Diceros bicornis minor: one gene and its partners. The protein of the gene in region 1 interacts with the protein of each later gene in a pairwise test. Links are inferred from orthologs where the notes say so. Each region holds a gene or a part of one and is shown in the gene's direction. Other genes may lie near its edges.

The links.
Region 2: the proteins of REL (region 1) and EXOSC5 interact in binary tests that used the Homo sapiens proteins (3 or more experiments, as listed by UniProt). The two-hybrid records come from large-scale screens. The link is inferred for Diceros bicornis minor from reciprocal best matches to the Homo sapiens genes REL and EXOSC5.
Region 3: the proteins of REL (region 1) and PLEKHN1 interact in binary tests that used the Homo sapiens proteins (3 or more experiments, as listed by UniProt). The two-hybrid records come from large-scale screens. The link is inferred for Diceros bicornis minor from reciprocal best matches to the Homo sapiens genes REL and PLEKHN1.
Region 4: the proteins of REL (region 1) and TSSK3 interact in binary tests that used the Homo sapiens proteins (3 or more experiments, as listed by UniProt). The two-hybrid records come from large-scale screens. The link is inferred for Diceros bicornis minor from reciprocal best matches to the Homo sapiens genes REL and TSSK3.

What each region holds. Positions count from the first base shown.
Region 1 is NC_080751.1:26,337,958-26,345,563, reverse strand, and holds the start of REL (proto-oncogene c-Rel), read left to right. Parts: upstream 1-4,602; 5' UTR 4,603-4,810; coding exon 4,811-4,820; intron 4,821-7,606. UniProt on the Homo sapiens protein: Proto-oncogene that may play a role in differentiation and lymphopoiesis.
Region 2 is NC_080773.1:15,381,793-15,389,797, reverse strand, and holds the start of EXOSC5 (exosome complex component RRP46), read left to right. Parts: upstream 1-4,995; coding exon 4,996-5,127; intron 5,128-5,253; coding exon 5,254-5,494; intron 5,495-8,005. Other genes in the region: BCKDHA (2-oxoisovalerate dehydrogenase subunit alpha, mitochondrial), read right to left, coding at 4,745-4,915. UniProt on the Homo sapiens protein: Non-catalytic component of the RNA exosome complex which has 3'->5' exoribonuclease activity and participates in a multitude of cellular RNA processing and degradation events.
Region 3 is NC_080752.1:21,946,994-21,954,908, forward strand, and holds the start of PLEKHN1 (pleckstrin homology domain-containing family N member 1), read left to right. Parts: upstream 1-4,898; 5' UTR 4,899-5,741; coding exon 5,742-5,824; intron 5,825-5,922; coding exon 5,923-6,022; intron 6,023-7,915. Other genes in the region: KLHL17 (kelch-like protein 17), read left to right, coding at 225-484, 570-691, 853-1,074, 1,517-1,633, 1,849-2,062, 2,355-2,499, 2,584-2,751, 3,135-3,223 and 3 more. UniProt on the Homo sapiens protein: Controls the stability of the leptin mRNA harboring an AU-rich element (ARE) in its 3' UTR, in cooperation with the RNA stabilizer ELAVL1.
Region 4 is NC_080752.1:47,105,559-47,112,340, forward strand, and holds TSSK3 (testis-specific serine/threonine-protein kinase 3), read left to right. Parts: upstream 1-4,232; coding exon 4,233-4,377; intron 4,378-5,109; coding exon 5,110-5,774; 3' UTR 5,775-6,273; downstream 6,274-6,782. Other genes in the region: protein FAM229A, read right to left, coding at 2,879-2,981, 3,251-3,397, 3,479-3,615. UniProt on the Homo sapiens protein: Serine/threonine protein kinase required for spermatid development and male fertility.

The sequences.
Region 1 (7,606 bases):
TATTCATGCCAAGTGTTTACATATTGAAGTCAATATTATATTTTTACAAATGGCTTTCATTTTATTTACGCTTGATATTGCTCTTAGAGCATTATTTTTGTTTGAAAATATATACATAAGGTATATATCTATGAATTTCACTTCAGGGTAGTAAAGGGGATATTACAAATATAAGTTATAAAACAGTGGACACTGATCTGATAAGGTGGAGAACCACTGCTCTTGATACTAAAAGAACATGCCTTAAACACATAAAATCTTTTTTTTTTTTAATGATGCAGCGATCAAGAAGTTACACCCTTCAAGAAACAAATCTGATTAGCAAATAGACGTGTTCCAGGTCTATGATCCTAGAAGAATATGAAAGAGTGAGAGTGAGAGAAAGAAAGTGAAATTGCTCTATAAGAGACTTTTTGTTGTTCTAGAAAGAATAAAAAAGACACCTGTCATCAAGCTGAATAGATGTAGTTATAACAAGATTTCAGAATAAAATCAATCACCGTGGTCCTATGTGGTCCCCCATAGGCTCCAAAGAGCTATCCAAATGCAAGGTGTATGATATCCCACACACTGAAAACCAGACATGGTGGGACATTTGATAACCAAACCAGTCCCAAGAAACAAAGGTTCTCTGCACGTGCTCTGCCTTCCTTCTTGCTACCATAGAGGCGGTTCCCCCATTCCAATCTACGGCCAACCACATAACCTGTGCTCTAGATTTCATCCTTCCTCCCTTCCCCACCCATTACCCCCTTCCTCTCTATCATTATCAATTTCTCCTTCACTACTGAGTCAGTTTCATCTTTATACAAATATGCCTTAATATCACCCTCTATAAACAAAACAAAACTTCAGTGTCTGAGACTGCTAGGGCTCACTGATATCTATTTTCTTCTCTTCTTTCTGGGCACACAGCTAAATTACATTTCTTAAATTATATTTCTCAGCCCCCTGTGGAGGCCATATGGAAAGTCGACTGTGATCAGAAGTAATGTATTCCTCTTTCAGGCCTGGCCTATAAAAATCTCCCATTCATGATCTTCTACTCTTTTTCCTTTCCCAAGGTGACTTTGAAAGCCACATGTTGCTGCTACAAGATAGAAGGCACCAGGGTCCCTGAGTTACTCCTGGAAGAAAGTTATTCAATTCACATTGGACTGTGACTCAAATGGTAAGTAGACTTTAATTATGTTAACCTGTTGAGACTGCAGCTGTCAGTGATAGCCCTTAGCCTAACACAACTCCACAACCGCTCCAGCTATCGCCTCATTTCTGTTTCCTTTAACACTCTTCAAAGAGTTGTCTATACTCATTGTTTCCATCATTCTCTTCTCAACCTCCTCCAATTCAGGTTTTATCCCCACCATTCCACTGACATGGCTCTTATCAAGGTCATTAATGACCTTTATCTTGCCAAATCCAAGGTCATTTCTTTATTCTCATCTTTTTCAATCTCTCAGCAACATTTAACACAGCTGACCACTTTCACTCTTTTTGAAACACTCTCTGGGACACCACAGTCTCTTCATTTTCCTCCTACTTCACTGGCAGCTCCTTCTTCTCCACCACTTCTCTAAGACTTGGCGGATCCTCAGTCTCTCTAAATTTTTTTTTCTGTATCTGCACTCCTTCTTTAGGTGGTATTATCTTAAATGAAATGCTGCTGACTCCCAAATCTTTATTTCTAGCCCTGATCTCTCCCCTTAGCTTTAGTTCTGCATATTCAACTGTTTAGTGGAATGTCTAAACATTCTGCATCTGTAACTTAACATGTCCAAAACACAACTCTTGATCTTTCCCTCTCAAACCTCTTTCTTCACCAGCCTTCCGTTGTACCTGGTTGCTCAGACTTTCTATCCTATTGCTTTATTTTCTTTATAGCAATAAAGAAACAAATATTTTAATAATAGTAATTTAAATGATCTTATTTGCTAACATACTTGATGTCTTCACGTGGGACAAAGCTGCATGAAGGGAGAAATTTTGTCTTGTTTATTAGTGTACGTGCCACCTCCTAAAGAGCACCTGGCACAGAGTAGATATTTGTTGAACTGAATGACCGGTTACCAACAACTGTAAGCTCTTGGGGAAAAAACACCATGTGCTATTCTTCTCTATAATCCCCAACAACTAGCTGCCTATTATCTTTACAGTAATAAATTTTTCCCCAGCATAAGTCCCAAAGAAAACCAAAATCACTGTTTGTTGTTGTTTTTAGCCCATCCATCAGTTTGTCTTGTAATCTTCCTTTTTTTCTAATTAAGTTTATCCTGCACAAGTAAAAGATTTTCACTTTTCAGATGTGGACTGGATCTTTGAAAAAAGGGTTCAGCTACTTCAAAAAATAGTGAAAGGGTTTTACAAAAAAAAAACCTTTAAAAAAGTGAGATAATATAAATCCACAGCTTAATCATGTGACAAATAAAAATAGCCCTGGAAATCAATATAAACATGCCATCCTCTTAGCGAGGAGATTTAAATAAGTCAGAGTCTTTGAAAAATAAAAGATAAAACTTAATTAGTTCAAAATTCTGTAGTGTTACTAAATCTCATAAGGTGCAGCTTGTGATTTCATAGATTGGAGTGCTTTTGGGACTGGTCTGGGGTCCTGCAACTGGGACAGATTCTGTTTGGTCCAGAACTTTTCAGTAAACAAACATTATCCCCTCTTAAGTTAAAGAAGCACCTAAATAACCAATCAGTTTCTGGAGGTGGAATATAAACAAACACATACAAAATATTTTCCATTCCTATTTGTCCCTCACTCTCCTAATGGATTCTTAAACATTTGTGCTGTTTGCCCTTACAGCTCTGACATTTGGGGTTGTAAGGGTAAATAAAAGCCTAAAAACTTAAATTAAAAAATTTCCCTGGTGCCAAAAAGGACAGAGAACATTACCCTCTCCGTTTTCACTGAACAATTCCTTTAGAAAGACCTAATTTGTAAATGATTTCTCTGTCTCTCTTAAATGTTTGTACAGCTTTTAAAAACCTAAATACGCCTCTTGCCAGTTTTGCATTCCCCTAAGGTCTTTCTGGGGTCCTTGGAGCCATCTCTTTGAAATGTGAACATTAAGGAGGATGGTGCCCCATCTCTCTTCCTCTGTGGGAGTTTAAACCTCGGCTTTTGGCCCCAAAAATGTAACTTCCTATTATTTTTCCTTTGGATAAAGACAACAGGTATGTAATGGATTGTCTCCCCATGGCTATATAAAGTGAGATTTTTTTTTTTTTGTCTTTTGTAATCTCCTTAGCGCATCACAGTGTGCTTATTCAATAATTAAGCTGTTTCATTCTTTTCTAGTTTTCTACATTTTGTGGAGAGGATATTTTGGGGTTGGTAGATTTTATTTTTAATTATTTCCCCAACTGGGTCCTCCAGCTTGGCACCTGTATGGCAGGCTGACATTCCCCATTCCCCCTTCAGACTTATTTTAGGCAGTAAGGGATAGCGGAAAGGACATAGAGCTTTGGAGTCAGACAGCTTCTGGGTTTAAACTGTGCTTTTCTTTTTACTAGCATTCTGAGGGACTGACTTAACTTCTCCGAAGTATTACTTAACTTCTCTGAACCCCGATTACCTCATCTATAAAATGAGGATAATACTACTTTATAAATGAGGTAAACTGACACATGGGAGGTGCTTAGCACATGAAGGAAACCAAGTTACACCAGATTCCTGCAACACACTAAACGTTCGTTCCAGTCCCCCCTTCCTTGTCGGTATCCTCGTCAAATGCCAAGACACTGTCCAGTTCACTAATTGTGAGCACACCGCGTAATGAGACAACGAACTCACAGCGCGGACCGTAAGAGTTTAAAAAGTTTTAGTAGGTAAAGTACGTCAAGTTAACAAAGCCCTCGCATTTTAGACATAAAGGGGGAAAGTCAGACTGCGGGGGTCCCCGTATGCAAATACACGAATTACAAAAGAATACAGACGACAGCCGCTTCCGCACTTCCCCGCGAGGGCGCACCGGGACGCCTGCGCCGAGCCGCCTGCCGGCGCGGGGGCGGCGATTTGCATGTGCGAAATCGGGAAGAGGGGGAACCACCCATCGAAAACCCCAGGCAGTCGAACCCCCCAGCCGGGAGGGCCAGCCCTACTTCGCCGCCCGGCCCGCCCCCAAGTGCTCCCGGGCGGCCGGCCCTCTCGACGTCACCGCACCCTCCCACCTGCTCCTGAACTTTAAACCACGCGCCGAAGAACAACCCGGAGGAGGGGGATTTCTCAGGAGCCGGCAGCTTCCGCACGCTCGGGACCGTCACCTCCCGGGTCCCAGCGTTCCCTGCGCTCCCGAAGATCCCGCGCTCCCGCTCCCCGGCCCGGGTCCCCAGCCAGCCGCACTGCCGGGAGTGGCCGCGGGGGCGGGGCAGGGGCGGGGCGGAGCGCGGGCAGCCGTGGACGGACGCGCGCGCGCCCGCCGCCAGGACGCCCCGCCCCCCGCCCCCGGGAAGGCGGCGGTGAGGGGCCGACGTCAGCCGCGGGAAATCCCCCTCCCGCCAGGCTGCCCGCCTGTCGGCCTCTCCGGTGCTCGGCTGTCGCCGCGCTCCGCCCCCTGTCCCTGGCTCCGCAGCCTGGACCGGCGGCGCCGGGTGACCCGGAGCGCGAGAATTAAGGGGGTGGGGAAGGTGTGAGCCGCAAACCCAGAGGAGGCCGGGAAGGAGGAGGAGGCCCCGGGGGTGGTCAGGGGGACGGGGGTCCCGCCGGCAGAGGTCCCTCGGCCGCCCGACTGAGCGGCGGGTCACTGACTACGGCAGCCTGCGTGCGATCCGACGCTTGGAGCGGGGCGGCGCGGGGAGCGGAGCCATGGCCTCGGGTGAGTGTCCCGGCGCCGACCCGGCCCGGGGGGAAGGAGCTAGTCCGAGGGTCTTGCTGCCCAGAGTTTCCGGGCGCAGTTTTGGTTGTGGCACATTCGGTCTTTAAAATCGCCTCTTCTGGCAAATTGTCGGCCTTTTAAAAAATTACCTGCTTCAGGGTTTGCGTGCGAAATCAAAGTCACGCTCTGTAATTTGATGCCATGATGATAGCTGGGACCTTAGAAATTTCCAACGACTTGGTTTTAGGATTAGGGAAGTAATAAGAATCTAAATAAAGGAGGGCAAAGAATTCTCGTATTTAAAAAGTGATTTATATTGAAATGGTTTTAGAACAGGAATGAGGAACATTCAGACCTCAGGAGAGCTCTACCTTTTTTGGTTTAATTTCATCAAGTGCCAAAGGGTGATCGCCGTTGTGCTGCGAGTTGTGCAAAATGTGGTGCGGCTTTAAAAGTCACCAGGGGTATTTTAACAGGTCTTAAGTGGAAATGTTGCTTGATCGAAGTGGATAATTTTTACTGTAAAGTGCATACTTTCTAGTTTACGGAGCAGAAGTCGATTTTTGTTTTTGTTTTTCCCCCTTGTTGGAAAGAAGGGGAAAAGAGGATTTTTAGAGTACTCGTGCTTTAAAATATGAGTCGGAATGAAAACAACTTTCTATCACTTATGTAAATATTTATTTTCAGTTAATAAGTGCGTGGATCTCTTGTTTTGGGGGTAAACCAGTTAACCAAGAAACAGCTAGAGGTCAGGGGAGGGAGTCTCATATCGTATGCAGCGAAGGTTTAGGTCCACTTGTAACCTAAGGGAAGTAAATCAAGTAGACTGCGTTGGAGATGGACCTTGACAGGATTCTGGCTAGGTTCATGAGGGCGCTTTCCCGGCAGAGGCAGCAGCGTGAGCAAAGGCAGGCAGGCCTAAAAGTATACCTTAACACTATACTGGGAGGCCGAAGAGGGGGGCTTGTTTATGCTTGACCCGCATCCTCCCAGCTCCCTGGTTCAGTGACCCTCAGAAGGCTGATGTCTAGCAGAGAAGAGGAAGTAGAAAGCATAAAGGACTTTTTTAAAGGCTTGAGCAGAACAATGCTGTAGCTACTGCTGTAGGCTGAAAAGGAAATTGGGGTGGTTCACATGACATTTGATTTCAGTTTGTCTGTGGTTTTCATGTGAGAATACAAGTGTAGTCTAAAATATTTCAACTTTCTCTTTACCCACTTCAGTGACCCCAAACTTTCAGATAATCTTGTAAATTCATAAATTCAAAGCATATTTAGATGAAAAGTGCAAAGATGATTTGAAATATTTGGTTAATTTATTGGTTACCGGAAAGAGATTTTGTATGAAAGAAGTAAAGAATGGCGAGCATTATAAATAAAGGTCAGCCTGCTGGCAGTTTAACCAAACTTTGTTAATATGAATGCAGTACTTCTAATTCTTTCAGAAGACAGAGAAAAGAATTAACCATTTATATAGAGAGTATTGTAAGACCCATATCATTTAAAAATGTGATACAATTTAAACTTGTTTGATGACATTATATTTTGTGCTGTTTTGAAAATGTATTCCCTGAATTGAAGGGGAAAAATTTAAAGGAATGGAAAGTTGTAGGGTAATTATCTTTTTTTAAAAGTTTGCCTTTTCTGGAGTTGCATTCAAATGGGGCTATTTAAACTATAAGAAGTTATTTAAATTGTAATTCATTTATTTGAAAACTGCTAAGCAAAATTTTTAAAAGGGAGCCTGGATGTACTTTCGTTAATCACTTGTAAAGACCTCAGAGAAAAAGATTCGCTAAATTATAAATTCCCATCCTGTTTTGAAACAGTAATTTAACCAAACGAGTAACAGAAAAAAAATTTGCTTAGTTAATCATTGTCTAGTTTGGATTCTGTTTGTAGTAAGGTAGTATTAAAACCTCAGAAAGTATTTTTATTGATTACCAAGCATTTAAGACCATTTCTTCATTTTTCACCGGATGTCATATGTAAATAGGTATGTGTAGTTGAATATGTGATCTGTATAACAAAAAGTAACAGATCATAATCTCATAAGCAAAATTATATAAGTACCATGAGTAACTGGGACTTTGGTATATATATGATTCTACATTTTGTTCAGGTAAATTATCAGATTAATTATTTAGGATTTCACAGCTCGAGTTCTATTAAGCTGTCTTTATTGCTTTTTTTTTTTTTTAATTATATCCCGATTGCAGTCTTTTGACATGATTAATTAGAATAGGCATTTTTAAGAAAAATGTTCCCAGTCCGATCTAGGGTATGCATAGTTAGGCAATCATGACTTTTGTATATGTATATAATTCTATTCTGTTTAATATAAGTTAAATTATCTATTTTATATCTGAATTTAAAGCTTCTCATTGCTCCAGTAGAAAGTGCAACCTGTTCTTGTGTGCACATAGGTTTATTTACTAATAAATAGTACTGTCTTTGGTAAAATATGTTTTAAAATTTAGGTAATTTATTTTTATTCAGTTTTCTTTAGTATAGTTCTGCTATGTCACATAATAGGAAGTACACGAAGAAATTGTTTTTGTAAACCGCACTACTTACCAACTCTGTCTGTAGTGTGAATTTCAAGAGAACTATTTCTCTTGAGTAAGGGGAAAAAAATTAATGTAAGTATGATGCGACAATCTTTAATGATAAAGCTGGAAGCTGGAATTGATAGCTAAAGCAAATGACTTCTTTTAAGTAAAAGACTACGCACATAAACATGAAGGCTGTTTCAGAAATGCAACACATGAAAATGTAGCGATGACA
Region 2 (8,005 bases), on another chromosome or scaffold:
TCCGCATGCACAGTTGCACTGAGTGCTCAGAGCACGTCTGTGAGGCAGGCATTCTTTACTACTGCCTTTGAGCAGATAACGAAACTGAGGTTCAGGGAGGTACAGTAACCTGCACCAGGCCACAGAGCTAAAAATAAACAACTAATTAAGTCAGGACTGGGCTTCAAACCTGGGCAGGGCTGACACCCAGACCCCAAACTCACAATCCTAACCCCAAGTGCCACTGCTGGTCAGGTTTCCACACATCTACTTCTTGACTTCCCACCGTCGCCAGTTGGCTCTGAGCTCAGTAATCGCGGCTTCACTTCCCATAGGAGCTAAAGAAGAATGACTGAGGTTTGCCATGAGCTGGGTCTCACGTGTGTGTGCTCAAGTGTGTTCCCCTCCCTCCCACCTTTCATTGCAGTGAAGTAGCCGTCCAAGGTTCCAGCGGGGGAGCGGGAACATGGATGCATTTATGTGCATTTGTGGTTGTGAAGAAATAAAGGAAATTACAGCCCCAACAGCAGGGCAGGCCCAGGCCTGACACCATCACAAGCAGATTCCCCTCCGCCTGCGAGGGAAGCAGTCAAACTCGCAGACCAGGCTTCTCCCTGCAGTGTGCTCACATGGCCGGACCTTTCCATCTACGGGGAGGATCCGTTTGTCCCTGTCTGTCTCTCACACACCTCACAAGCTCCAGGAAGACAGAGATCACGCCCAGGTCACTTTACAGAGCGGGCACTCAGCAGGCCATTACTGAACGAACAGATGAATGAGCGGTTAAGTTCAAGGCTTTGGAGTCCGACTGACCTGGGTTCCAATTTTTTATCTCACTGCATGGCCCTCTGCAAAACACTTTGCCTCTCTGAATGTCCTCATCTGCAAAAAGGCTGCAGAGGGCTGTGGCGAAAAGTTCCTAAGAAAAGGCACACACAGAGTTCAGCATAGACATGGGACATATTATATGCCCAAAAGCTGGTAGAAGGGGAAAAAACAAAATCAAGGAAGGTTTGAAAACGGGAATAAGAAAAATGCCTGGCACCTCAGAAGGAAGAGGGGAAAAGAGGATTGGGGAGAAGGACTGAATGCCCCTCACACTGGATTGTGATTCCAGACTGTGGCCCCAGCAGACACTCTAGAGGGAGACTGAGGCCCAGAGGAGACACAGGCAGAACAGGACGAGGGCTGTGGTCTGGGAAGGGGCTCTAGGAGGGTAGGTCAGGGGATGACATGGGTCAGGACAGGGTCACAGGGCTCAGAACCAACCAGGGTGTCAGGGCAGGACTCTGCCTGTGGAGGCTGCAGAGTTACCGTCAGGGCGCCTTGGCACACCCCACATACAAGTTGGGCCTTGGCTGTACACCTTCTTTCCTGGGCCTGTAGAGATGCCGGTGGTACCCAGCCCAGGATTACCGTGCTGATTCAAGGAGCTAGGGCCCTGAGGAAATGTCCCATTAAGGCAGTGGGTGGTAAAAGGCCTGCAGAGAAAGGATGTGACTCCACCCATCTCTTCTTGTTTTTGGTGGGAGGGTGAGTTTGTCCCACTGGCCAGCGACTTACAATGGCAGAAGCTGTGCAGATTTACACAAAGCATGAAGCCACATCCTCTCCCACTACGCAGGAAACAGGCCTGCTCTGGGTGGTCTGGTAGGCCCAGCAGGTAGTAGTGTGGTCCCTGGTGGAGCCACTCCCCCGGGCGCCAAGGTCAAGGGCAAGGACTCCGAGCAGACCGCACCTCCTGGCTGTGTAACTAAAGCAGCCTGAGCCTCAGTTTCCTTGTGTGTAAACTGAGGGTGATGGGAGTACTTATCTCATTAGGGGTCACGAGGATTATGAGTCGATGTATATAGAGTGCTCAGCCCAGTGCGTGGCACATAAATGCTTGATAAATATAAGTAGCTAACAAGTGTATTTGACAATTATTGTTGTCAAATAGGTAGATAGTGAATATTTGCTCCAAATCAGGCCCTGAACTGAGGGCTGGAGACGACAGGGAGGGACGGATAACAAACACTGAACACACAAGTTACAATTAAGAGAGGCGATCTCAGAGGAAGCAGGATAGTTCAGTAGTTAACCACAGGGCAGGGTAGGATGAAGGACTCTAGTGCTAAACTGCCTATGTTTGAATCCCGGCTCTGTCCCTTTCCAGTTATGTCACCTTGGGCAGGAGACAGTCTCCCTGAACTTGCATCCCCTGGTGGAAAAAATCAGAATTTCTACTTCACAGGCTTTTGGTGAGGCAGGTATAAAGCGCCTGCTGCAGCTCTAGGAGGAACCTTTCACTAGCCAGCATCAGGCGGAGGATGAGGAGAAGCTTCTCAGAGACGGCGGAGTTAAGGCAAGGCCCCACTTGCTTCTAGGGATGATTGCTGAGAAACCCACTCAGGACTCCTTAACAATCGAGTTTTCTTCCTCCTCTTCTCCCTGAGCACTAAAACATCTGCTAGCAACTAGACGGGGGAGGGAGGCAGAAATCAGGCAAATGCCTCCAGGGCATCAGGGTGTTCAGCAAAGGGCATGGGGAAAAGAGGGGCAAGCAGGCAGGGACGCAGTAAGGCAGCCCATCCTTCCTCCCAACCCAGCTTGCCCCAACAACCCAATCTGTCCCACTACACGACAGCCTTCTCACCTTCCCCCAAGACACTATCTCTTGGCTTCACTTTGACTGGCTAACAATGCACCATCCAATATGGCAGCCACAAGCCACCTGCTATTTAAATTTAAACTCACTAAAATTAAATGAAACAAAAACTTCAGTTCCTCAGTGGTACTAGCCACATTTCGAGTGCTCAGTAGCTACCGTACTGGACCATCATTGCAAAAAGTCCTATTGGACAGCCCTGGCCTAAAATCTTCTTTGATCAAATGCTACTACATCTTTCCTCCGCTCAAAAAAAGTATGCCTCTTTTTTAATCTTAGAAAGAATAAGTGGGAGAAATAAAAGTGGAGAAGAAAAAGCAGGGACTTTAATAAATTAAAAATATATAGGTGGCCTAGTGCTTAAGTTCAGCATGCTCCCCTTCGGCAGCCTAGATTCAGTTCCTGGGCGTGAACCTACACCACTCTGTTAGCAGCCATGCTGGGCTGGCGGCCCACATACTAAAAAGTAGAAGAAGATTGGCATGGATGTTGGCTCAGGGTGCATCTTCATCAGCAAAGAAATATATATATAAGCAAAAAGTAAGGACTCTGAAACACCTCCTCCTCTCCCCCACCTTCACCCCAAAAAAATGAAGGAGGGAGGCAAGAAGGAAGGGCAGCAGGGAGACCAGCCTGAAAGGAAGCAGATTTAATCAGCTATAAATGACCTTTCCATACTCCTGCCCCAGTCCGGTCCCGCCCCACTGACCCAGCCAATGGGCTCCTGGGACTGACATCAGCTGTGGAGAATCTGACTGCTCCAAAAAAAAGGGACAGAGAACAACCAAAAGGCAGGAGAATGCTCCACCCCCATCCTGCCCCAGCAACCTGCTGCAAGTTAACACCGGCACTAGATCCTCCCACATATTACTCCTGGCCCATCCTCTTCACCTTCCTGCCCTGTCTCTCTCCCTACCTAGGGCTTCTTCCCAGACTCCATCTTCCCTTCCTTATAAACTGGGGATCAGAGTGTCAGACCCAACCCCACAAGATCTTGACATATTTCCCTCCAGGGCCCTCACCAATCCAGGCCCTCCCAAAGTCACCTCCTTTCTTCACATCTTCAAGGTCGGTTTCTGTCCCTTCCCTCCATCCTCACTTTCAACAGCGGTCAACATTCCTATATCCTTTATCATATATCAGATCCAGTTCTTAGCACTTTATTTAATTTTCACAACAACCCTATGAGGTGGCCACTGTTACCATTTTACAGAGAGAGAAAATTAGGTGCAAAAAGCAGTCCCTTGCCCAAGGCTACACAGCTGGAAAGTGGCCCATTACATATATGAACCCACATGGTCTAGCTTCACAACCCACCTTTTGAACCACTTCTCTCTTACCTGTAAAATTTTAGTTCATAGCTCTCCTGCAGCCCACTGCCTCTCTCCCTCTAAATAAGAGCTTCCAACTAGATTTGTGCTAGGGGAGCTTGCCGATAGCAGCATCAACCTAAAGGGAGTCTCACCCTTTTGACAAGAAACGAGGCATTTTTTAAGTGTTGCTAAGAAATGCGGGCAAAGTCTGGACCTCTCTCCTTTCATTAATTCAACAAATATTTACTGATCTTCTCTTCTGTAGAGTGACCAAAACAGACAAGACCCCTGTCCTGGCATTTATCAGAGAACACAGGATCAAACGATTTTTTTACGCAATTCATTTTAAAATCAGAATTGTAGCCAAGGAGCAAAGAAATACAGGGCACTATAAAAGCCCGTGACGGGGGACCTGGTCTCTCTTTTATCCTCTTTGAAGAGGGGATTTTTACCGAGAAGAAAGTCTCCCCTTTCACTCTCCAACCCCTGCGCGGAAAAGTCTCGTCTTCCTCCCAAGTCCCTCCAAGCGGCCTCCCCGGGGGTTGGGGGGCAACCAAGGAGTAAGTCCCCTTCCTCTCTCCAAGTTGTCTCCCTCCCTCAGGGCCCACAAAGGAGCTGCCTGCTTTTTCTCTCCTGAGGAAGTGGAAGTTCTCTTCCTGAGTGTCCTCTCCGAGTGGTTCTCCCAGCCCTTGTCCCTTCTGTGACAGCCCTGCCTTCCCTCCCTGCAGGGACCCCATACTCTCAAGATAGCGTTGGAATCCATAGTCCTCCTTGTGGAAAACTCCCCAGTGCCCCAGGTACTCACAGATCTAGCCAGCCCCCGAACCCCAGTCCGCCGCAGGAGCAAGAGGCCAGCCTGACCCAAGCCTCGACTTGACCCCCACACACTCGCCGCGGCAGCCGCCACCGCCATCTTGGCTAACAACCCTCGGTGACCCGCCCCTCTCCTCGGAGAGACCGGGGGCTGCCCCTTCATAAATCTGACTCAAATGCCAGTACCACCCTGCCAGCACACCACCTACTACCAGTCCTGCGGTCGCTAGGACACATAGATGGATGGATAAAACAATCTGGCTTCCCAAAATCTACTCTGATCGCCTCATTGTAGCTGTTTCCGTAACAGGCAAACAGGCAAAGAAGAGGACAACCTCACCAGTGCCTCAGGGCTTTAGGGCCCTGGGGCCTCGGGTAGGAGGAGCCCATGCCAAGGCCCGCCCCCTCTTCTCTACTGTCCAATGGTTTTCCTGAAGTTGAGAGGCGGGGTGGGCGGGGTCAGGTTGTTGGTAAACGTGGAGCCACGTGCGGGCGCCAAAGCTCGGGCTCCTGGATCGGCGCGTGCGCACTGAATACGCAGCCAGTACGCAAGCGCTAGCTTTTGGACGGAAGCGACCGTCCGCGCTGCACGTGGGATCCGGGGCGATGCAGACTCACGCCAAGATCCGTAAGGAGTCCGGAACAGAATCCGACCCTCGAGGCCCCGGCTGCAGCCTCCGGCACTTTGCCTGCGAACAGAACCTGCTGTCCCGGCCGGATGGCTCTGCCTCTTTCCTGCAAGGTAAGAACTTAACCCAGTAAATACTGCCCGGGCCGTGTTCCCTCAAGTCATAATTGTTTTGGGGCGCGGCTGCAGTGTACCATGCAAAGGAGTGCCCTCCTCCTCCTATACTAGCTGGTAAATGTCCCTCCTGGACTGGCACACAACTTCATGCCTGGCTGGATACTACCAGGTACGCCAGGGTACATATATCTCTTCCGACTAGAAGGAAGAAGATATTTCCATTCCGGTAAATAACTCTTCAGAATGAGAGCGGGGCAGACCTTTCCATAAGAATGAATACTTTAGAATAGGGAAAATTTCACCGGAGTAAATATCCCCTTTGACTAGATTCCTTCGTCTCCCACACGCACACCCTGAGTCCACACATCCCAGGCTGAGGCAAACCTGTCCAGTTGCATAAATACCCGGTAGACTGACCAGTCACCACTACCGGCTTAATTACTTCCCAGACCGTGGCAGATCTTTTACCCCAGTAAATACTTTTCAGATTGAGGGTAATGTCCCCACCCCACCAATTGGGTAAATATCCCTTTGACTAGGATACACATCTCTCCATGTGAGTAAATATCGCTAGATTGGGGCAGGTCTTACTTATTGAGTAAGTATCCCCTTCTTGTAGCTAAATACCCCTCAAACTAGACTCCACTCCCTGACTGAGATAAATATTGCCCTGGAGATAAGCCTAAGGATAACCCCCATGGATGCTTCAGTCCCCTCACTAGGGCATTACCTTCTACCCAGTACAAAGCTCGTCTCATTCATTTCTTCACTGAACATGTACATATTTGTGCTAAGTACTGTTCTAGGCAGGGAGAATACATGATAAAAAATTTTTTTTTAATCCCTGACCTAATGGAGTTTACATTGTAGTCAAGAAGACAGACAATAACTAAGTAAAATGCCATGGGGAAAAATTAGGAGGGAAGGGGAATAGAGTGTGCCAGAGAGGGTTGCAATCTTGCACAGGATGGTCAGGAGAGGCCGCAATGAGATGGTAATATTTGAATAAAGACCTAAAGGTAACGGAGCAAACCCTGAAGATATCAGGAGGGAAAGCACACCAAAGCATGGGGAACAGCAAGGGCAAAGGCCCTGAGGCAAGAACTTGCCTGGTATGTTTGAGGAAGTCAGGAGACCACCGTGGCTAGAGCAGTGGGAGGAGGTTTTGGAGACAGGTAAGGAGGCTTGTACATCACAGAAGGCCTAGTGAATGCCATGGGAGCCATGTGACATGGTCTGAGTATATTTTAATAGAATCTCTCTGGCTGCGGTGTTGACTGTAGATGGTATGGAGGAAAGGGGGAGATGATGGTGGCTCAGACCAGAGTGGAAGCACTGGACGTGGTAAGATTCTGGGGTTATTTTGAAGGTAAAACCAACAAAATTTGCAGGTGGTTTGGTTTTGGGGTATGAGAAGAAAGGGATAACGCTAAGGTTTTTCCCCAGATCAGCTGTGCTGGGGGAAGGTGAGTTCAGTTTGGAACATTAAGTTTGCAGTGCCTAGTAGATATCACAGTGGCAATGCGGACTGGGCAGTTGGACATACAAGTCTGGAATTCAGAAGAAAGACCCAATCTGGACATGTAATTCGGAATCCTCTGGCTTTAGATAGTATTTCAGGCTATTGATTGGATGAAATCACCAAGAAAATGAGTATAGATAGAAAAGAGAAGAGGTTGCAGGACTAAACCCTGGGTCTTCTAACATGTGAGGAGCTAGCAAGGTAGGAGGAAAACCGAGAGAGGGTGGTAACTTGGGGCCCAGAGAATGTGTTTGAGATGTAAGGGCCGACCAACTGCATCGTCAGTCCTACTGAGAGGTTGCATCACGTGAGGATGGAATAGACCCATGGGTTGACAATTTGGAGGTCACTGGTGACGCCATCAAGAGCTGCTCCAGTGGAGTGGTGGGGTCGAAGAAGGGAAGAAGAGAGCCAGTGGAGACAGCTCTTCCAGAGCTTTGCTGTAAGATGATCATATAGGTGGGGCAGGAGTTGAAGATGGATGTGGGTCCAAAGAGGAAAGAATTGCTCAAGAACGTGAGAGGGGAGGGTGGTCCTATGCTCAGGTGGACCACAGACAGCTCGTCTGGAGTAACAGGAATGAAGCCCCCAGCAGGATCTAGTTCTGCTTGGGTAATTTCCCCCTTTAGGGCAGATTCTCCAGGAGCCATGAGAATTCCTCAGTTGTGTGGCAGCTCCTCCTTCCAAGCCCCAGGAAAAACAGCTCCGACCCAGGCCCTCCCCCAGGCTTAGCTCTCTTGCTAAATTCAGATGCCTGGAGTTTCTTAGAACTTAAGAAATAAGGAGAAAGGTAGCCCCTTGCATGTTGTAAAACCGCAAAGCCCCAGGACCCTGGAGCAAGAGGAGTCCTTGCAGATCCTCAAGAGTATGTCCCTTGTGTGCTTCTGGCCTCAGGACCTCTGGTGAGCTTGTTAAAAATGCAGCACCCCAGAACCCACCCCACGCCTACCAAGGCTCACCCTCCACATTTTTCACTGCTTGGTGAT
Region 3 (7,915 bases), on another chromosome or scaffold:
GAGTCTTGTTGACCCCGGGGAGGCTCCCTGGAGCAAAGGAAGCAGAGTAGGGTGGGGCCCAGGCGGCAGGGGAGGTGGTGCTGGAGTGCTGGTCCTTGATGGAAGCCAGGTCTGGGCCGCTAGGGGAGGGGTGGCCTCCCGGGTGCCCTGACTCTGCCCGAGGTCTGGGTTGGGTGAGCAGCTCCCTGCACAGTGCACCCTGACTTGGCTCTGCCCATCTGCAGCCCTGAGGCAGAGCGTGCACGGCCGCGGCAGGCCCGGCCCACGGCCCCCATGGAGGGTGCAATGCAGCTGCTGAGCCGCGAGGGCCACACTGTGTCCCACAACTCCAAGCGGCACTACCACGATGCCTTCGTGGCCATGAGCCGCATGCGGCAGCGAGGCCTCCTGTGTGACATCGTCTTGCACGTGGCCGCCAAGGAGATCCGGGCACACAAGGTGGTGCTGGCCTCCTGCAGCCCCTACTTCCATGCCATGTTCACAAGCAAGTACCACCCCCTCCCGTCTGGTACTGGGGGCGCTCTGTGATCTTCCAGAGCGGGCACCGGCCTGACCCACTGTCCCCACAGATGAGATGAGCGAGAGTCGCCAGACACACGTGACACTGCATGACATCGACCCTCAGGCGTTGGACCAGTTGGTGCAGTTTGCGTACACAGCTGAGATCGTGGTGGGCGAAGGCAACGTGCAGGTGAGCCGCCTCATCCCTCAGTCCGCTCCCCGCTGGGCCTCAAGCCTCAGCTCTCCCTGCGTCCCCAGCACCCCCCTGTGTTTCTCTCCATCCCCTCAGTTCTTCACATCTCATTTCTCTGTCCCTGCTCCCCCGGCCCTCTTTCCCATATCAACCCACAGACTCTGCTCCCAGCCGCTAGCCTCTTGCAGCTGAACGGCGTCCGTGACGCCTGCTGCAAGTTCCTGCTGAGTCAGCTTGATCCCTCCAACTGTCTGGGCATCCGAGGCTTCGCCGACACGCACTCATGCAGTGACCTGCTCAAGGCGGCACACAGGTACGTTCTGCAGCACTTCGTGGATGTGGCCAAGACTGAGGAATTCATGCTGCTGCCGCTGAAACAGGTAATGCCAGCTAGAGTATAGCCTGGACCCTGACCCAGCCCTTGACCCCCAGCCCCCTTCCCCTGGGCTCTTAAGACTTGGCCCTTTGCTCCTCGGTTCTTATTCCCAGCCTCTGACCCATGTTCCAGCCCTACCATCCATTCTCTGGGCTCCTCCGCCCTTGCCCCATCTTTTGACTCCACCCAAGCCTTCACCTTTGATTCCTGACCCCATTCTGTTCTGAGTACACCTCTGCCTACCGTCCTCAGTTTCTCGTTCCACATGCCCAGGGCTACTCTGGACTAAATCCCTAGGAACCAGATCTGTGGCTCCTAACCCTGCTTGGTCCCTCCTCATAGGAACAGTGGGCCCCTCGTTGGACTCTCCCTCCCAGGCACCTTTAGGGCTCCATGGGCCCCCAAGGTCCTCCCCAAATCTCAGGTCTCAGGGTCCCCACCCGCAGGTGCTGGAACTGGTCTCTAGCGACAGCCTGAACGTGCCTTCAGAAGAGGACGTCTACCGTGCCGTCCTGAGCTGGGTCAAGCATGACGTGGACGCTCGGCGGCAGCATGTCCCTCGGGTGAGGCCAGGCCCTGGGTGGTCCCATGGTGTCCAGGAGGGGATGCAGTGGCCAAGGGCCTAGGTGTGTCTGGGCTCCTCTGTCCAGAGACTCCACTGGGTGGTATAGGCATGTGCCTAAAGAAAGGTTCAGGGTGTCTGAGGGTGGTCTCGGTGCCGGGGCCAAGTGTGCCCACACGTCCCACCTGCCACCTGACTGTGGCACCCCTACCCCAGCTGATGAAGTGTGTGCGCCTGCCCCTGCTGAGCCGGGACTTCCTGCTGGGCCACGTGGACGCCGAGAGCCTGGTGAGGCACCACCCTGACTGCAAGGACCTGCTCATCGAGGCCCTCAAGTTCCACCTGCTGCCCGAGCAGAGGGGCGTGCTGGGCACTAGCCGCACACGGCCCCGGCGCTGTGAGGGTGCTGGCCCCGTGCTCTTCGCTGTGGGTATGCCCACTTCTCCCGTCCCCTCCTGTCCAGCCCCCACGTCTCTGCCCTGCGTCTTCTCTCCGTGAGCCTAGCACAAGCTCCTCCACCCTGTGCTGGTCACGTCCTGCACCCACCCCACTCCTGCTCCTCTGTTCCTCCACGGAGGACCCTGTGTAGTGTGACCTACTCCCTAGTCCCTGTCCCCAACCGCTCTTGGAGTCCCCACACCTTCGACCTCGAGCTGTGCCAGAGCCCCCAGCCCATTGCCTCCCTGGGTCCGTTCTCCTGCCCTTCACCTTCTCTTGTCTAGGTGGTGGGAGCCTATTCGCCATCCACGGGGACTGTGAAGCATATGACACACGCAGTGACCGCTGGCACGTAGTGGCCTCCATGTCCACACGCCGGGCCCGAGTGGGCGTCGCAGCCGTCGGGAACCGGCTGTACGCTGTGGGCGGGTAAGTGTGGAGGACGCTCTCAGGGCAGGGGCTCGGCATATGCTCTCCAGGCCACTCCTGACCGGCAGCGGACCTCTCTCCTAGTTACGACGGGACTTCAGACCTGGCCACCGTAGAGTCGTACGACCCTGTCACCAACACTTGGCAGCCAGAGGTGTCCATGGGCACGAGGCGCAGCTGCCTGGGCGTGGCTGCCCTGCACGGGCTCCTGTATGCAGCTGGTGGCTACGATGGGGCCTCTTGCCTCAACAGGTAGTGGCTGGGGTCAGGGTTGGGTGGCCTTTTGGGGTTGGCTCCGCAGTAGGTACGGCTCCATCAGGACTGCAGAGGTCACGCTTGAGGGGAGCAAAGGGGGATTCCCCCTGACTGGAGTCACCAGGGTCCCCAGGCCTCCTCATATGTGCCAGCCCAGCTGCCCCGTTTTCCTCTCTGGGGTCCTTCCCACCAGTCCAGGGCTGGGCCCAGGTGGACAGTGCCTACCCAGCAGGCCCTGCTTCCTGTTCCAGGGAGACTCAGGTCAGTCTCCATGACTACCCAGCACAGGATTCTAGTCCTGCCATGGGGAGGACAGGTCCAGGGGCCAGGACAACCTTTCTGCCACTGCTCAAGGTCAGCGGCGGTCCTGATGCCCACAGTGCCGAGCGCTATGACCCCCTGATGGGAGCATGGACGTCTGTTGCCGCCATGAGTACCCGGAGACGATACGTGCGCGTGGCCATGCTCGGTGGGTGACAGGGCCTGCTTCATGTAGTGCCCACCCTTCCTGCCACCTGAGACCCTGTGCCAACAGGTGCACCATGGGTTTGTTGACTCTCTGCAGATGGGAACCTGTACGCCGTGGGTGGTTACGACAGCTCCTCACACCTGGCCACCGTGGAGAAGTATGAACCCCAGGTGCGAAATATGCCCCTGTCACGGTTATTCCCCAGAGCTGTTTGAGGTCATCACTTTGGCCACCCACGTCCCCTGAGGGTCAGCCTTTTACATCCCACCCCCAAGCACTCTGCCCTGGAGTAGGGGTCTGCACCATGGAGGTGGAGGGAGGTTGTGATGGGGCTGCCCCCATCCCATCCCGTCGACTGCAGGTGAACGCATGGACGCCCGTGGCCTCCATGCTGAGCCGGCGCAGTTCTGCGGGTGTGGCAGTGCTGGAGGGGGCCCTCTACGTGGCCGGTGGCAATGATGGCACCAGCTGCCTCAACTCGGTGGAGAGATACAGCCCCAAGGCCGGTGCCTGGGAGAGTGTGGCGCCCATGAACATCCGAAGGTGCACCAGCCCCACCTCGCTGGCCAGTCGTGTCCCCCTCGTGGTGTTCCCCTCCACACACTGACATACGTGCCCCACAGCCTCACCACTGTGGGGTGTGTCCACCCCTCCATCCCCTGCCCCCTGCCCACTACTCCCGGGCTCCCCCAGCTCCATGCCCCAACCCAACTCCAGAGATTCCTCCCATGGCCTGGGGGCCCCGCCCTGCCACTCAAGCCCACCACCCCCCTGCCCCCAGGAGCACGCACGACCTGGTGGCCATGGACGGCTGGCTGTACGCCGTGGGGGGCAACGACGGCAGCTCCAGTCTCAACTCCATTGAGAAGTACAACCCGAGGACCAACAAGTGGGTGGCCGCGTCCTGCATGTTCACGCGGCGCAGCAGCGTGGGCGTGGCGGTGCTTGAGCTGCTCAACTTCCCGCCACCCTCCTCGCCCACGCTGTCCGTGTCGTCCACCAGCCTCTGACCCGTGGCGCGGCCTGCACAGAGGCCAGCCCACAGCCTTCCACATGCCTTAAGCCCCCCGGGGCAGTCCCCCCGGGGGCGTCCTGCGCCGTCTGTCGCGTCTCTGCGTCAAGGCCACCGTTTGTGTTCATTCCTCAGAGTTAGTTTCTGTGTGTGCAGTTTATTTATTTACTCATTTATTTATTCATTATTTATTGACCGACGAGCAGCGCTGCAGCTGCCAGTTTATATGTTTATTCAAAGTGTCCTGTGTCTCTGGGACCAAGCTGCCCTCCAGGGTGTCCTCCCACCCCAACGGGGGCACAGGGAGCGATGTGGGTGGACATTTGGGCCAACTCCGACTCTGCAGGCCTGGAGGGACCAAGGAGCAGATGCAGAGCAGCCAGGGTTGGTGGGGGGCTTTCTGAGCGGAGGCAGACCCCCCAGCCTGCACTTTGCATACCGCCCTTTCCTTGCCCAGCCAGGCACGCTCCCGGGGAGGGCACAAATTGGGCTTCCGTCCTGTGAGGGTGGTGTCTTTTCTGGATTCTGCACTGAGCTGGGCACACATGTGCCCCAGACTACACAGAGCAATATGAGCTGACTTGAACAATAAACATGTGTTTTGGGCTCTTTGGGCCTGAGGCTGAGTGTCCATCTCCGCCTTTCAGGGTGCTGTCTTTGTTGATCGGGAGGGCCCCGGGGTGGGTCTGCAGCTGGGCTGAGGCGCTGCATTGGCATCTGGGGGTTTTGAGGCAGCACCGTGATGTCCAGGTGGGGCAGGGCTGGTGATGTCCTGGATGAGCGCCCACCGTGAGCATGAGCCTGGTCCTGAGAGGCTCCTGTGTCCCCTGGCTCACCTCAGGCTCTGGGGAGGGTGGCGTGCATGGCATTCTTCCCATTTCACCGTGACAGCCTGGGTGTACCTGGGAGGGTTGTGGTCTCCTTCCTGATTCTGGGTAAGCCTCGGGGACCCTGACGTTGGCTCAGGGTGAGGATTGGGCCGGGGCGGGAAAGGAGCCTGGGAGAGGGTTCTGGCCCCTTCCCTGATGTTGCAAACTCCCGCTTCTGAGGCTGAGAGCAAGGACACACCCCCTTACAGTCACTGCTGACTCAGAGACGGCATTTAGGTGGAAACAGGATGTGCGCTCACGCAGGTGAGGCCTGGAAGGTGGTCCCTGGACTCAGGGAGCTCCAGCCCCAGGCACCCCCAGGCCGAGTGCAGGCAGGCCACGCACTCCCAGGCTAGGTGTTCAAGGCCCTTCCCGTACAGACTGGCAGCTGAGTTGGGGGCTCTTGACTGGGCTGAGAGGCAGGCTGGACTGCACGTGTGAAAGACTCAGGAGAGCACTGAACGGCTCTGCTCAGGTAGGGGCCAGGTTCCTCCCAGAAAGTCTCCACCCTTCCCCAGGTCTTGGATACAGGGCGAGATTTCCCGGAGCCCCGCCCCAGGAGGTGGGGGCAGGAGGCTTAGGACAGAGGAACCCAGACGTCGACCTGCTGTGCTCGGGGCAGCAGTCACCGCCACCCATGGGAAACAGCCACTGCGTCCCTCAGGCGCCTCGGAGGCTCCGGGCCTCCCTCTCCAGAAAGCCCTCGCTGAAGGGAAATAGGTGAGGGGGGCAGGAGCACGGCCTCGGCCTCTGGGTCACAGGGTCGCCCTCAACCTGCCTTGGGGGCCAGGCTGTGAGCCCCCCTCCCTTATCCCCAGAGAGGATGGTGCGAGGAAGCTGGCTGGTCTGTTTGGCACCGAGGCGGGTCCCGACGGGGACACCACTGCCGACAAGATCTTCTACTACATCCCTGGGACGGTGAGCGGGCGGGTGGGCGTGTCCCAGCTGGAGCGAGGCCTCGAGGGGGTGCGGTGGGGGTCATCGGTATGTGACTGCGTGTGCGTGTCCTATCTTGCCTTGGCTCAGGGTCTTCCCCTGGCAGCCCAGGGGGAGTCAAACCCAGAACAAGGTGAGGAAGTAGACACTGCCCCACCCTGGGGAGCTCATCTGGCCGAAAGTCTGAGCAGAGAGTGAAACTGAGACCCGACACTGAGTCAGTGGGGTGAGCGAGCACTGGGCAGGAGCGGGCCGCGGGCGGGGCCTCCAGGAGCCTCTGCTGCACCAGAGGGGGCGCCATGGCCAGGCCATGCATTCAGAGCCATCTCTGTGGGGCCCCAGCCCTGGTGTCTGCCCACCCCCCAGGAACAGGCACGTTCAAGTTGGACCAAGCTCACGTACTTCAGTGTTGCTGCGTGGGCACCCGTGTCGTGCTGGCAGTGTAGCTGTGAACCTTCACCCCCCGTTGTCACTCTGAGGGTGAGGGGCTTCACGTGAACAGTGAGCCAGCCTCTCACCTACTCCAGGCCTCAGTTTCTGCCAGGGAGTGTCTTCTCCACATCCATCATGCCTCATCTCACAGCACCCCCGTCTCCCCTTGCCAAGGCCACGTGGCAAGGACGTGGCTCCGAGCCCATGCTAGGCCACCTCTGAGCTGAATACCACCCCACCCACCCTGCCCCCACTCCTGTGGGGCTAAGGGTTAGCTGAGGGGGAGAGACAACCAGCCCTTTCCCCAACATGGCTGCACTGGGTTGAGGTGAGGCTCTGCTATGTGCGGAGACACCAGGATGTGAGCAAAATGATCTCGCAGCTTCTTACCCCAGGAGCATCAGGGAGAGGACAGGGAAGGAGGGACGGCTGTGACTCTGTGCCAGGAGCTCCAGCCCTGCACTCCTCGGTCCTCACACCATCCCCTCGAGGCCTAGCAGCTAGTGTGGGCTTCAGAGCCCACCTTCCCAATGTGTTGCTGTCAGGCTGGGAAGGGCTGGCGGGCCTGTCCCTTCTCCTGGCCTCTGAGGTCCCAGGGCTCCCTGTGAGCAAACGCTGTCTTCAGAAACCGTGCTGCCTCAGAGACGTGGACAGGGCACTTCCGTCCAGGGCCTGGCCTGGCCGGGATGAGGTCCTTCATGTGTCTGCATCCCAGACCTCAAGTCCCTCTGTCCAGGCCCAGGACACATCATGTGACCCTGGTGGAGTTCCATGAGGCATGGTGGTCCTGGTGGTCCTCTCTTGCCAGGACATGGTGGCTGGAGAGGGGACCAGGCATGTTGAACTTTGAGAGGGAGGGGTCAGGGGAGGAGCCAGTTTTCATTGGGACCTGCCCTGTGGTGGGTTCTGCCCCCACACATGAGCCGGCCCTGCCTCAGCTGTGAGCGGGCTCCTCCCTGGACCCTAAGGCTGGGTCTGGGCCACAGGGCCAGCTGCATGGCCTGTCCTGCTCCGTGGCCTATTTTTCGTGGTCCCATCCCAGCGTCATTACCGGCTCTGGGTGTGGGTACCGGAGGCCCCACCCAGAGGCAGGGAGGCCGGGACGCTGTGTGTCTGTCTGTTCACATTCCTGGGCTTGCCCAAGGGGCGGCTCAGCTTGGCCAGGGCACAGCAGCCTGAGAGGCAGCCCCTGCCAGCTCCCACAGGGAGGGTGGCCCCCTCCCCAACTCAGCCCTGAGACCCTAGCCCTCAGGTCCTCAGCCCCAGGTCAGCACCTGTCTCTCTCCGACTCCAATCTGATGACCAAGCCCCTCTGTATAAAGGGTTCTCTGTGCCAGGGCTGGCCAGGTGTTTGTGAGCGCTGATCCTCCCTCCCTTCAGCAGATATCCCAGGCCTGTCCTAGGCTCTGGGGATACAGCGGTGGGCGAAACAGACAAAGGCAC
Region 4 (6,782 bases), on another chromosome or scaffold:
AGTGATCTGATGACTGGTAACACTGTCCAAGGCTCCTGATCGCCATGGAACAGAGTTCCGTGGAATCCTGACTCCTGCCACTCTCTACCCCTTTTTTGCAGGTATCTTTTTCTCCCAGCATACCCAATCTTCCAATCTTTGCATAAGCTGTCTCTGATCCCAGAATGTTTTTTCTTCAACTTCTGCTCATTATTTTCTGATGATGCTGTCAATCATCCGGCTATGCTTGCACCTCAAGGGAAGGCTTACCTATGGCTCAGCCTGGTCAATTATAGTCTCCCATCTCTCTGACAATGGTGATTGGCCCAAGGAGTGTGCACATGATTTAAGAAGGGCCAGTTATTGCCCTTCCAGGGATAGGTATACTGAGACTGGAGAAAGCAGCTCCCTTCCTGGGATTTCCAAGCTGCTGCAGCCATGTTCCCTGCCCAGAGGAGATAATCAAGAATGATGGGGCAGTCTGGTGGGGTTGAATCCTTGGTTCCAGCCCAAGGATGCCCTGGTTCCTACAGTTCTTCCTTTAATCACTAGCTTATGTCCTTCCCAGCCACTTCAAACAATCAATTCCTTTTTTGCTTAAGCTAACTTCAGTTGCTCGCAGTGGAGAGAACTTATCAATACAGAGGCCAATAATTTTTTCTCTCTGAAATTACAATGGCCTCCTAAGGAGGGTGAGTACTGTTTACGGGGGGGGGGGGGGGGGGGAAGGCCCTTTTTCTGCAGAGCAGCAGCATAGGTTGCTAGGCTGAGTAGGGCTTACATGGAGTATGGTGGGAATGGGAACAGCTGGATTACTCTACTTAATAGAGAGAGGAACCGAGAGTCCCTGGGGGGTGGAGTAGGGCTCTGCAGGAGGTCAGGGTGGAGGAGGAGAGGAGTGAAGGAGAGAGAGGCCAGTTCTATGGCCTGAAGCCAGGGATTATCCTGGTGAAGGGGAAAGATAGGCATGGAGGGGCTTTCAAGAGCCAGGGTATTTAAAGGACCAGAGGACTGAATGGTCAAGTCTAAAGTCCTCACTTTGAAGTAGACTTTTTTTTGGCAAACGTCCTCTCCTTCAATAAGCCAATAAGTCCCAATAACGTTTGGGACTGCCTGGGAGGGTATTTTGTGTGGAAGTTGAGAAAGGTTGCCCTTCAGCGTGACCATGGGATTCTGAAGTGCTCTGGGGAGGGCTTGGACTTCTACCCCATGTGGATTAGGGGAGGGGTGTTGAGTCAATTGTATTTAGATCTCAGGGGACAGGAGACTGAACCTGACGTTTGGGTTACATATATTATTTCCAGTGTTAAAATAGTACAGGTTCATGTTAGAATGGCTATAATCACCAAGACAAAAAACAACAAATGTTGGAGAGGTTGTGGAGAAAAGGGAACCCTCATACACTGCTGGTGGGAATGCAAACTGGTGTAGCCTCTATGGAAAACAGTATGGAGATTTCTCAAAAAATTAAAAATAGAAATACCATACGATGCAGCTATCCCACTACTGGGTATTTAGCCAAAGAACTTGAAATCAACAATTCAAAGAGACTTTTGCTCCCCTATGTTCACTGCAGCATTATTCACTATAGCCAAGAAGTGGAAGCAACCCAAGTGTCCACTGACTGATGAATGGATAAAGAAGATGTGTTATATATATACAATGGAATACTACTCAGCCATAAAAAAAGACAAAATCATCCCATGTGCAACAACATGGATGGACCTGGAGAGTATTATGTTATGTGAAATAAGCCAGACAGAGAAAGACCAACACCATACGATTTCACTCATATGTGGAAGATAAACTAACACACAGAGAGAATAGATTAGTGGTTACCAGAGGGGAAGGGGCTTGGTGGGTGGGCATAAGGGGTAAAGGGGCACATATATATGGTGATGACAAATAATAATATACAACTGAAATTTCACAATGTTATAAACTATTATGACCTCAATAAAATAAAAAAAGGACAGCAAAAAAATATATAATAATGCAGGTTCTTCAAAGCAAAATTAGAAAGTGGGAAAATACTCGTTCAGCTTAAATACTGCACTTCCAGGCAGCCTTCGTGTCATGGCCCCTCTTATGGATGGCTTTTAGAGCATTAAGTCTGAGGACACTGAGGAATGTGCTAGCATCACCCATCATCTGGGGGACCTGGGACAAGTCTTTCAAGCCTCAGTTCCCTCACCTGTAAAATAGGAATAAGAAATCAAAGTTTTTCAAACAACTTCTTCCTCAATCTTCTTTCTAGGAATAACCAAGACTCAAGATGGACAGGGCAGCTCCTAACCCCTCCAACAAAGCCAGAGGTGCCCAGGGTAACAAACAGCAGGTAGCAAAAGCTAATTCCATCCTGGGAGAATTAAGTGAGCCTGGTGTGGGTGGCCATTCTCTCTACTCTAAGTTGTCTATCCATCCCTCTCCAGTGGTGAGCTGCTCTGGGCTCCCTGAGTCCAGCACAGTAATGCGAATTCCATTCAAGAACCAAGGAGAGGGATGGGAAGAAGGATGAGGGAGGGCCCAAGCTGAAAGGTAGTCCTGAAAGAGGTCAGGACCAGCAACAAATGGGGGGAGGGGTTGGCCCCCAGCAAGAAGAAAGGGGACCCGGAAAAGCATGCCCCTAGGGCTGGGTCCAAAGGAGGAGACAGCCCAAGGGAAGGTGCTATTGGATGGGGCGGAGCAGTAGGTCGGCCCGGTCCGACGGGATAGACATACACAGCCAGCCCGGAGTGGAAAGAACAGTTTATGCTGTGCTTTATTAAAATGTGCATCATTCTTTTATTTTAAAATGTGCATCATTGTCTCGTGCTCTGTGTGCGCGATTTCAGCGTGGTGGCCCGCGGCGGGCCTCGTTCCCGCCCGGCTCCCGCGGAGCCGCCGTGCGCAGGCGCACTCAGGTGGCGCGGGCCCGGGGGCTCCCGCCCATGGCCAGATAGACGTCGATGGGCACGTGCAGCAGCGTCAGGCAGTGGCAGCCCGGGCAGCGTCGAAGCGGCCTGGAGAGACGGGGCGCGACAGGGGACGCTGAGGCGGGGTCCCGGCCTATCTTGTCGGGGACGCTCCCGGGGAGGGCACCTGGGGTCCCCGAGGTTTGGGCGTGGATGTGGTCATCTACTGGGGGGACGGGGGTGTCTGGGGATGGGAAGTGGGACAGGGGCGGGGCCGGAAGCGCTCGGCGCGCAGCCGTCCGCCCAGCTCCCCCTCGGGACGGTGGGGAGGGCCGGGACGGCAAGAGGGCTCGCGGGGGGAGGGGCGCCGGCCTCACCTGACTGGGTTGTGCTCCGTGGTTACCGGCTCTGGGCTGTCCTGGGATTCGGGGGCGGCAGCAAGGCCAGGGGAGTCTCCGGCCTCAATGGGGAATCTCCGACCCTGCGGGGGCTCCCGGGCACTCATGTCCAGGCCCCGGGGCGCTCTGCGCGGGGAGTGGCGTTCAGGCTGCTCCCGGGCCGCCAGGCGCCCCCTCCCCGCGCCCGCGCCCTGGGTCGTTGCTCACCTGCCGGAGGCCGAGGCCGGACCCAGGCTGAAAGCAGCTGCCTGAGCCCTGGCTGCGGGAGGACGCTCCGGTCCAAGCGGAGCCGGGCAGGTGTCTGCGGCGTGTCCGGGCCCGGGCGTCGAGGGGGAGGGCTGCATTGTGACCCGGGCCGCGGCGCGCTGACCTCACAGAACCCGTTCCTCCCACTGAGGAATCCCCCAGCGCTCCCCGCCGCCCCGGCACTTAGCGCGGCCGCGAGCCAGGTGCCGGAGGGCTTTTGCCATGGCGCCTTGACACTGGGTCGCGCAGACCCCCAGCTGCCCGATGGGGGCGCAGGAGGAGACGGCAACCAGCTGCGAGGCAGCGTCCACCAAAGGGAGCTCGGCATCCTGGGCCGCGCAGACACCCGTGTGCGCCGCCCCCCCCGAAAAGCCTGCGACTCACTGCCTGGCGTGGGGGCGGGGGCGCACCAGTGACTTAACCCGCGCTGGGTTTGGTGGTGGTCGTTTGAGGGCAGGTACGGGCTCTGCCCATTTTGGCTAAGGGTCACACAGCATTTACATCACAATTGGGCCGAAGTTTTAAAATGTCCGGCCATCTCCCTTCCCACTACCCGCGGCTGCTGTGTACAGACGGAGAATGTTCTAGCGCTGGGGGCGGCTGCGGATGAAGTCCTTGGGGGGAAAAGTAGCTGGCCAAGGGCAATGGTGGAGTAGAGCTGCCTCCTGGAGGCAGCATGAGCTGAGAGGGTGATAGGAAGGAGGCGCTAGACAGCATGGAGGACTTTCTGCTCTCCAATGGGTACCAGCTGGGCAAGACCATTGGGGAAGGGACCTACTCAAAAGTCAAAGAAGCATTTTCCAAAAAACACCAAAGAAAAGTGGCAATTAAAATTATAGACAAGATGGGAGGGCCAGAAGGTGAGCTGGGGCCCCTTTGGAAGAAGGGAGGGCTGGCTGAGGTGGGTGGGTGCTTCCTCCAGTCAGAAGGCTCATTCCTTCCTCCCTTTAGTCTGGAACCAGGGAAAGCAAGAGAGATGGTGCCTCTGGGGTAGGTCAGTGGGGAACAGAGAATGCTGGGAGTCCAGGAACATCACACCCTCCAAAACCCAAAATTAAGGTGGCAGGAGGTGGAGAGTCCTCAGAGGCAGAACTTGAGCCTGCCAGGCCTCTCTTATTCCAGGAGGGGAACAGAGAGAGGCCACGGCCAGGGCTAGCAGAGGGCAGGAGTTGGTGCCAAGGCAGGTAGAGATGGGAAAGACAGGGCTCATGGAAAGAACTGTGGGTCAGGAGGCAGGGGTGGAAGGAGTTCGCTCACCTCACTGTGGGCAAATCAGGCCTAATAACTGAGATTCAATGGCTTTGTCTACAAGTCCCCAAAGCACCTTGATATCCAAGGTCTCACAGGCTGCTCACAACAGTCCCTGAGGCTGGCAGGGACTAGTTCCTTTGAATAATATATTAATGCAAAAATAATAGAGGTGAACATTCTTTGCAATGTCCAAGCAGCTAGACATTTAAGACTGTTAAAGGCAACCAAGGCACAAGACCCAGACGTGATGGGCAGACAGAAGCTGGAAGGTAGGAGACAGGAGTAAGGAGTTAGGCCCTTCCAGCCTTGATACCCCATCTCTTTTCCCCTTGTTTCCTCAGAGTTTATCCAGAGATTCCTGCCTCGGGAGCTCCAGATCGTCCGTATCCTGGACCACAAGAACATCATCCAGGTGTATGAGATGCTGGAGTCCGCCGATGGGAAAATCTACCTGGTGATGGAGCTGGCTGAGGGAGGGGATGTCTTTGACTGCGTGCTGAATGGGGGGCCACTGCCTGAGAGCCAGGCTAAGGCCCTCTTCCGTCAGATGGTCGAGGCCATCCGCTACTGCCACGGCTGTGGCGTGGCCCACCGAGACCTCAAGTGCGAGAACGCCTTGTTGCAAGGCTTCAACCTGAAGCTGACTGACTTTGGCTTCGCCAAGGTGCTGCCCAAGTCACGCCGGGAGCTGAGCCAAACCTTCTGCGGCAGCACAGCCTATGCTGCCCCTGAGGTGCTGCAGGGTATTCCCCACGATAGCAAGAAGGGTGATGTCTGGAGCATGGGTGTGGTCCTGTACGTCATGCTCTGTGCCAGCCTACCTTTTGACGACACAGACATCCCCAAGATGCTGTGGCAGCAGCAGAAGGGGGTGTCCTTCCCCACTCATCTGGGCATCTCGGCTGAATGCCAGGACCTGCTCAAGCGGCTCCTGGAACCAGACATGACTCTCCGGCCTTCCATCGAAGAAGTTAGTTGGCATCCATGGCTAGCAAGCACTTCGTAAAAGCAATGGCAAGTCCTCCCCAATAAAGTAGGGGGAGAAAGCAAACCCAAAACCCGCTTCTAAAATGGTGATATATATTTTACACTTTAAGTTTACTTATCCTAAAACTTACCTACACCCTCCCCAGCCTTACTTCTCTTTTCCTTTAAAGATCTTCATGGAACCAGAGGGCCTCGTTCAGACTTCCCTTTTATTAAGGCTGACAAGTGATTTTCATACAGGTGTTTAACTAAAGTTAATTAAAAATAGACCCCAGAATCATACACATACACGGGGAGGAGAGGAGAAAAATGACCAAGAGCAATCGGAACCACTGTTGTTGCAACTTTCTTTCCAAATAAAAGCAGAAGTGTTGGGAATGCAGAAATGGTCTTGATTCCTTGTCTTGGTGAGAGGTCTGTTGGAGGCCCTGTCCCTTCCTCATCCCAAAGGCCAAGCTGAGTCTGGGATGAGGACAAGGGACTTCCCCACGACCCAGGCTAACCCCCATCCCTCCCCCTCCCCCAGGCTCCAAGTGGGCAGCCACCCTGCACATGGCGTGCATTCTGCCTTGCCTCCAAGGGCAGCTGCCATGGGGGACAAGAACAGACCCCCAGACACCTTCCAGCTTCTGTTGAATCTCTTTAATGCTGTTAACGGCAAGTCTGGAAAAGGTTCAGGACAAAGTTCTTTTTTCTTTCTTTTTTAATTACAAAACTAACAGCTGTTAGAATCTTTTTTTTTTTTCCTTTTTTCTTTTCCCAGCTACAAAATACTCTGGGGAGATGCATTATAATTTAAAATATATAATATTGCACAAACAACCAAAAGGTTAATTAAACTAAAGAAATAATTACAAAGAGAAAAATCCCATCCCATCAAAAAAAGATTCAGCATTCTCTCCATCCCACCCCCTCATTGAAGGTTTGAAGTGGAAATGAACACCACTCTCTTGGCATCCCTGACCACCATCCCTTTAAATCATTGGTGAACACACCAGATTATGTACAAGAATCACCAGAGCAGCAT